Anolis sagrei: one gene and its partner. The protein of the gene in region 2 interacts with the protein of the main gene of each other region in a biochemical or structural test. Links are inferred from orthologs where the notes say so. Each region holds a gene or a part of one and is shown on either strand. Other genes may lie near its edges. The genes, in order: ENC1 and NFE2L2.

Region 1 (3,915 bases), on a different chromosome or scaffold from region 2:
AAAACAGGAAACCCCACAATATCTGCTTTGAACTGGGTTATCTGAGTCCACACTGCCATATATTCCAATTCAAAGCAGATCATAGAAACATAGAGTTGGAAGAGACGTCATGGGCCATCCAGTCCAACCTCCTGCCAAGAAGCAGGAAGATCGCATTCAAAGCACCCCTGACAGATAGCCATCCAGCCTCTGTTTAAAGGTCTCCATAGAAGGAGCCTCCACCACACTTTGGGGCAGAGAGTTCCACTACTGAACAGCTCTCACAGTGGGGAGGTTCTTCCTAATGTTCAGATGGAATCTCCTTTCTTGTAGTTTGAAGCCATTGCTCTGCGTCCTAGTCTCCAGGGCAGCAGAAAACAAGCTTGCTCCCTCCTCCCTGGGACTTCCCCTCACATATTTATACATGGCTATTATATCTCCTCTCAGCCTTCTCTTCTTCAGGCTAAACATGCCCAGCTCTTTAAGCCGCTCTTCATAGGGCTTGTTCTCCAGTTCCTTGATCATTTTAGTCGCCCTCCTCTGGACATATTCCAGCCTGTCAATATCTCTCTTGAATTGTGGTGCCCAGAATTGGACACAATATTCCAGGTGTGGTCTGACCAAGGCAGAATAGTGGGATTTCCTGCCTTGATATTCTGGGTTACATGGCTGTGTGGCAGGACTCCGAGGGCCCTTCCACAAAGTCCTATATTCCAGAATATTAAGGCAGAAAATCCCACAATATCTGCTTTGAACTCGGTTATCTGGGTCCACACTCAGATGTGGAACTTTCTGCCTTGATATTCTGGGATATAGGGCCGTGTGGAAGGGCCCTAGGCGAGAAAGAGACCTTTGTGGAGCAGAGCCTAGTCTTCAAGACCGCAGAGCCTGAATCCGTTGGTGGTGGCTGGCCACAGGCTTGCCTTGGAGGTTTGGGGCTGCTGCAAAAGGAGTTTCAGGACTAGTGATTTCCTTTTCTCTCGAGTACCAGAAAGTCCCTTCTCCCTTTCTGCCGAGGAGACCTTCCCCGTCAGTATAACCACCCCCCCATGCTTTTGCGCCCTTCCTTGCTCAGAGGAGGCGGGGCGGGGGGCGAGGCCAGAGGCAAGGCCGCCCATCTCTCTCTCTCTCTTTCTCCTCCTCCTCTTGCAGCCGCAGTTCATACAAACGCGGCGAGGAAGGCAGGCGGGCAGTCAGTCAGTCACTCGCCGGGGCCACGACGGCGTGGCTCCTCTCTTTATCCCTCTCTTCTCCGGCTCAGTCTGGAGGGCGCCCAGGGAAGGAGAGGCGGGCCTTCTAGCCCCGCCACCGCTGCGGGGAAGCACCCACCACCCCAGGCTCCCCATGCCGTGAGCGGACCCACTCCCGGGAACTAGGACGCGCGAGTCCTCCGAACACATCCTCCGGCTGTAAGTTGCCCCGACCTGTTGCCTCCCGGGGAGGGTTTGCTCAGCCCCACCGAAGGAGGGAGGGAGGGTAGATAGATAGTGGCAGAGTGGGTAGAGAGTGGGGAGAGGTGGATGAGTAGATAGTGGGGCGCGGTTGGAAGCGATCCCCTCCCCAGTTCCCTTCCACACAGCCCTATATCACAGAATATCAAGGCAGGAAATCCCACATTATCTGAATATTCACTCAGATAACCCAGTTCAAAGCGGATATTGTGGGATTTTCTGCCCTGATATTCTGGGATATAGGGCTGTGTGGAAGGGCTCTCAGATAACTCTGTTCATATCAGATATTGGGCCCTTCCATACAGCCCTATATCCCAGAATATCAAGGCAGAAAATCCCACAATATTGAACTGGCTTATCTGAGTCCATACTCGGATATTGTGGGATTTTCTGCCTTGATATTCTGGGATATAGGGCTGTGTGGAAGAGTCCCCAGTTGTCAGTCCTCTTGAGGAGCATATGCACTGCAGAATTAATCCGCTTTGACCCCACTTGAATTGCCATGGCTCAATTTTACTGGATTGTAGTTTTAAGTGTGCAGAATGAATGCAGTTTGCCACCACTTTGCTTGACTCAATGCTGCAGAACAGGCATGGGCAAATTTGGGCTCTTCAGGTGTTTTGGACTGCAACTCCCACCATTCCTAACAGCCTCAGCCCCCCTTTCCCCTCTCAGCCGCTTAAGCCTTGCAGCTTCAAAGCCCGGCTGCTTCCTGCCTGGAGGAATCTTTTATTGGGAGTTGTTAGCTGGCTCTGATTGTTTCCAACAGACTTCACAGCCTGAGGATGCCTCTTAAGCGGCTGAAGGGGAAAAGGAAGGGGCCTGAGGCTGTTAGGAATGGTGGGAGTTGCAGTCCAAAACATCTGGAGGATCCAACTTTGCCCATGCCTAGTATAGGTGCGCTTTAACTCAAAGACATTCAAAGCTCGCTCTCTCTCTCCCCCCCCCCCCCCCCCTCCGACTCGATCTGGTTTCATTCCGAAATGGTCCCGCGTGCGTGGGAAAGGGCCTGGGGAAGAATACTGCCGAGGGTTTCCCCCGAAGGAGGCAGCGATGGTCTGTCTTTGCAGCCCAAGGAAGTGAACTGCTGCGCCTCCAGCCGGGCTCATGGCTTTGCACAGGAAGAAGGCGGGCCGGAGGGTGTGCTTCTTTCTCCCTTTCTCTCGCTTCCTTCCTTCCTCAATCCCTCCCTCTTTCTCTCTCTCCCTCCCTTCTTGGGGATGCCTCGGAGTTTCTCCTTTTCCTTTCACAGCCAAGGGGGAGGGAACCGTTGGCGGTCTTTTGTGGAGGGAGACCCGCGTGGCTCGCTGGGCTTCGTCTGGGCAGCTGCAAAAAGGAAGCGCCAAAGCCGCCGGGTTTAAAAATGAAGGCGCCTATTCTCATGGGCAAGCCCTGCCAAACACCAAAACTGTGATCAACTGGGATGGGTGTGTGTTTGACAAACCAGCTTGCTCTTTCTTCTCTCTCATTCCTCCTAAATGATTTGATTGTGTCCCTTAAAACTCCCTTTCCACTCAGCCCTATATCCCAGCATATCAAGGTAGGAAATCCCACATTATCTGTGTGTGGACTCAGAAGTGGACCCACTTTAAAGCAGATAATGTGGGATTTTCTGCCTTGATATTCTGGGATATAGGGCTGAATGCAAGGGTCCAGAGTGGGATGTGGGGTGTTGTGAGTTTTCCAAGCTGGATGGCCATCTTCCAGAAGTATTCTCTCCTGACCTTTTGCCCACATCTATGGCAGGCATCCTCAGAGGTTGTGAGGTCTGTTGGAAACTAGGAAAATGGGGTTTATATATCTGTGGAATGTCCAGGGTGGGAGAAAGTACTCTTGTCTGTTGGAGGTAGGTGTGAATGTTTCAATTGGCCACCTTGATTAGCATTTAATGGCCTTGCAGTTTCTAGGTCTGGCTTCTTAGGGCCCATCCATACAGCCCTATATCCCAGAATATCTAGGTAGAAAATCCCATAATATCTGCTTTGAACTGGGTTAACTGAGTCCACACTCAGATAATGTGGGATTCTCTGCCTTGATATTCTGGGATATAGGGCTGTGTGGAAGGGCCCTTACAGTGGGATGTGTCAGTGTATTGTTGAAGGTTTCCATGGCCAGAATCATTGGGTTGCTGTGAGTTTTTTGGGCTGTATTGTTGTTGTATTGGATCACACATTGTACACTTCCCAATAATAATTTGGAAGTGTCAAACGTGTGATCCAATACAACAGTCAACATAGGGACCTTGTTTGCTGTGTACTAATCTTGTATTTATAATAATAATAATAATAATCTTGTATTTATAATAATAATAATAATGGGTTGCTGTCAGTTTTCCAAGCTGTATGGCCATGTTCCAGGAGCATTCTCTCCTGACGTTTCACCTGCATCTGTGGTAGTTATCCTCAGAGGTTGTGAGGTCTGTTGGAAAGTATGCAAGTATGATTTACATATCTGTGGAATGTCCAGGGTGGGAGAAAGAACTCTT
Region 2 (3,915 bases):
CTTCCACAGAGCTGAATAAAATCCCACATTGTCTTCTTTGAACTGGGATACATGGCAGTGTGGACTCAGATAACCAAATTCAAAGAAGATATTGTGAGATTTTCTGCCTTGATATTCTGGGTTATATGGCTGTGTGGAAGGGCCCTGTGATGATAGCAAAGTGTAGCACTAATGCAGTTTGATCCTTTAACTGCCATGGCTCTCAATGCTATGGTATCCTGGGAGCTGTAGTTTGGTGAGAGACCCGCAAATATTCCACATGGCTCTGTAGACTACTGACATCAGATGAAAGCCATTATGTACATTATTGTTCTAAATATGAGAGGCTATTTCCTGTTGGCAGAGAAGGCTAAAGACCTTGTCAAACTGCAACTATCGTGATTCCATAGTCTGGAGCAATGGCAGTTAAAGTGCTGTCATATAGTATTAATTCTACAATGTGGATGCACCCTCTACTCTTCATCACACTTGAGAATGAATCCACTTAAAATCCGGTATCTGCCTCCTGCAGAATGCTGGGGTTTGTAGTTTAGTGAGGCTGTTAAAGGATCCTCCCTAAACTACAAACCCCAGCATTCTGCAGGAGGCAGAAACTGGATTTTAAGTGGATTCATGTGCCACCAAAGTGCCTATGCTTTCTTATTTTTAGTAATATTAGTAAAAGTAAAGGTTTCCCCTTGACATTAAGTCTGGGGGGTTGGTGCTCATCTCCATTTCTAAGCCGAAGAGCTGATGCTGTCCTTAGACACCTCCAAGGTCATGTGGCCAGCATGACTGCATGGAGCACCATTACCTTCCCGCTGACATGGTACCTAGTGATCTACTCACATTTGCATGTTTTTCCGAACTGCTAGGTTGGAAGCTGGGGCTAACAGAGCTCACCCCGTCCTGCGGATTCGAACCGCTGACCTTCCAATCAGTAAGTTCAGCAGCTTAGCACTTTAACTCATTGCATCATCACAGCCCCATATTATTACCGGAAAGCAAATGAAGGGCACAGCCCTGTTACCTAAAAGTGATAATTCCTTCTAAGCACAAAGGTAAAGAATTTGCTGCTTTATGAACGTATTGAAAAAGTAGCAGCAGCTCCATGGAAAGTCTGCCTCCTTTCAGTAACAGTCTAAATATCTTACTAGACTGCACATTTTGCAATCTTTTTGTGCATTTATTTATTATCCTTTTGGGTTTCCCTCAATCACATATTTTATTCCTACCCCATCCAGGGTTTTATCATTTTATCTCGTTCATTTGGCCTGTCCATTTTGTTTCAATTTTATACTGTGCTAATTTGCTTTATTTATGTTATTTTTGCTACTATACATATTTTATTCTGATGCAATTTTGATTGTCTGCAGTCTGTATTTTACTTTTTGCTGTATTGTATTTTTGGGCTTGGCCTCATGTTAGCCACCCCGAGTCCCCTTTGAGGAGATGGTTGGGGGGTATAAATAAAGTTTATTACTATTATTATTATTATTATTATTATTATTATTATTGCTGTTGTGTCAGGAGCGACTTGAGAAACTGCAAGTTGCTTCTGGTGTGAGAGAATTGGCCGTCTGCAAGGACGTTGCCCAGGGGATGATTTGATGTTTTTATCATCCTTGTGGGAGGCTTCTCTCATGTCCCGGCATGAGGAGCTGGAGCTGATAGAGGGAGCTCATCGGCCTCTCCTCAGATTCGAACATGTGACCTGTCAGTCTTCAGTCCTGCCAGCACAGGGGTTTAACCCACTGTGCCACCGGGGGCTCCATATTATTATTATTATTATTATTATTATTATTATTATTATATGTATATAATAGATCCAGATGTGGGAAAACAAAGTGGTGAAGCAACAAGAAAAACAGATCCAGGGCGCATCTCCACCAGGCCTGGACAAACTCTGGCCTTCCAGGTGTTTTGAACTTCAACTCCCACAATTCCCAGCAGCTAGGGCAAACTCTGGTCTTCCAGGTGTTTTGGACTGCTAGGAATTGTGGGAGTTGAAGTCCAAAACACCTGGAAGGCCAGAGTTTGCTCAGGCCTGATCTACACTGTAGAATGAATGCACTTTTGACACCACTTTAACTCTTATTGATCCATTCTACATAGTTATAGGACTTCTGGCTTTTCTTTGCCCTTCTCTGCCCAAGAGTGCTGGTACTTCTCCAAACTACAACTCCCTCGTTTCCAAACCAAAACAGGGCCCCTTCCTCTTGTCAAGGCCGACCGAAGAGCCAGTGAGTCAGCGCATTCGAGCCTGGCTGTGACGTCACGGCCTAGAGGGGCGTGGCTTAGAAAAAGGAAAAAAAATAACACCGGCTTGGACCGCTGTGGCGATCGCAGCAATCGAGGGGGCGTGGCCTATCCTTAACCCCGCCCCCTTTCCTCCCGCACGGAGGTCTCTCTCTGCCCCGCCCCTCCTGGGGAAGGGGATCCAAGTACCCCTAAAGTGAGCCTCACCTGCGGCATCTCGACCTCCATGGTGACGTCACTGGCGATGACGCAACGGGTTCCACGCCGGGTGCGGGGGGGGGGGGGGGAGAAAGGGAGAGTGAGAGAGAGGCTTCGCCGCCTAACGAATCAAGCGGACTGAGGCTCTTCCTTTTCTGGACGGGACGCTTTAGCTGCCTCTCTCCGGCGGTGACGCCGACACAGCCTTCTCCTCCTCCTGCTTCTCCTCCGCTGTCCCTGTCCCGCTCTGCTCGCCCTCCGTCCGTCCTCCCTGCCGGGAAACCACCAGCCGCCTGCCCCGCCTTCTCTCCCTTTCTCCCTCCCTCCCTCCCCCCGGAGAAGGAGGGGCCGAGCCGGGAGGCCCTCGCGGTTGGTCCACACTGGAGGATAAACCCACTTTGGCACCGCTTTAACTGCCTCAGTGCTGTGGAATCCTCGGAGTCGCAGTTCAGGGAGCAGAGAAGGCTCAAACCCTTGCAAAAGGGCCAACATCCCATAGCATTGAGCCATGGCGGTTAAAGTGGGGTCAAACTAAATTAACCTCACAGTGTAGACCAGGCCTGGGCAAACTTGGGCCCTCCAGGTGTTTTGGACTTCAACTCCTACAATTCCTAACAGCAGCAGCAGTTAAAGTGAAGTCAAACTCCATGAACTTCACCGTGTAGGCCAGGCTTGGGCCCTCCAGGTGTTTTGGACTTCAACTCCCACAATTCCTAACAGCCGCGGCAGTTAAAGTGGGGTCAAATTGAATTAACCTCACAGTGTAGACCAGGCCTGGGCAAAGTTGGGCCCTCCAGGTGTTTTGGACTTCCAACTCTCACAATTCCTAATAGCTGGTGGAATTGTGGGAGTTGAAGTCCAAAACACCTGGAGGGCCCAAGCTTGCCCAGGCCTGGTGTAGACGCTCTGGGCCCGAGTGAAGAGAGAGGTGGCCAGGGGACAGTTCCACCTTGTCTCCTGCATGATTGTGTTTAATATGCTACTGTTTTAATTGTTTTTAACTGTTTTATGGTGTTCTGAGCATTGAATTTTGCTATTGTTAACCACTTTGAGTCGCCCGAGGGCTGAGAAAAGCAGTATACAAATATAGTAGATAAATAAATATGTCATCAGTTGGGGACCCCTCCCCCCCCCCCCCCCCCCCCAAGAAATAACTGCTGCTCTGGGCCAGAGTGAAGAGAGAGGGGAGCAGAAGACAGTTCCACCTTGTCTCCTGTGCTAGGCTAATAATATAATATATTGTATATACATATAATATTATGTAATGAAATATAATACTAATAAACATAATTATATGTTTATATTACATGTAATATTACTAGTAATATCACAATATAATGGAATAGTACACTATAATAATATTTAATATTGATATTGTACTATGCTAATAATATATTACCCGGTGGCATAGTGGGTTAAGGCACTGAGCTGCTGAGCTTGTTGACCAAAAGGTCGCAGGTTCGAATCTGGGGAGTGGCA

Evidence for each region.
Region 1: the proteins of NFE2L2 (region 2) and ENC1 form a complex in vitro, tested with the Homo sapiens proteins (2 studies listed by BioGRID). The link is inferred for Anolis sagrei from reciprocal best matches to the Homo sapiens genes NFE2L2 and ENC1.

Annotation. Positions count from the first base shown.
Region 1 is NC_090022.1:263,513,361-263,517,275, reverse strand, and holds the start of ENC1 (ectoderm-neural cortex protein 1), read left to right. Parts: upstream 1-1,124; 5' UTR 1,125-1,388; intron 1,389-3,915. UniProt on the Homo sapiens protein: Actin-binding protein involved in the regulation of neuronal process formation and in differentiation of neural crest cells.
Region 2 is NC_090021.1:190,492,347-190,496,261, reverse strand, and holds the start of NFE2L2 (nuclear factor erythroid 2-related factor 2), read right to left. Parts: upstream 2,748-3,915; 5' UTR 2,467-2,747; coding exon 2,446-2,466; intron 1-2,445.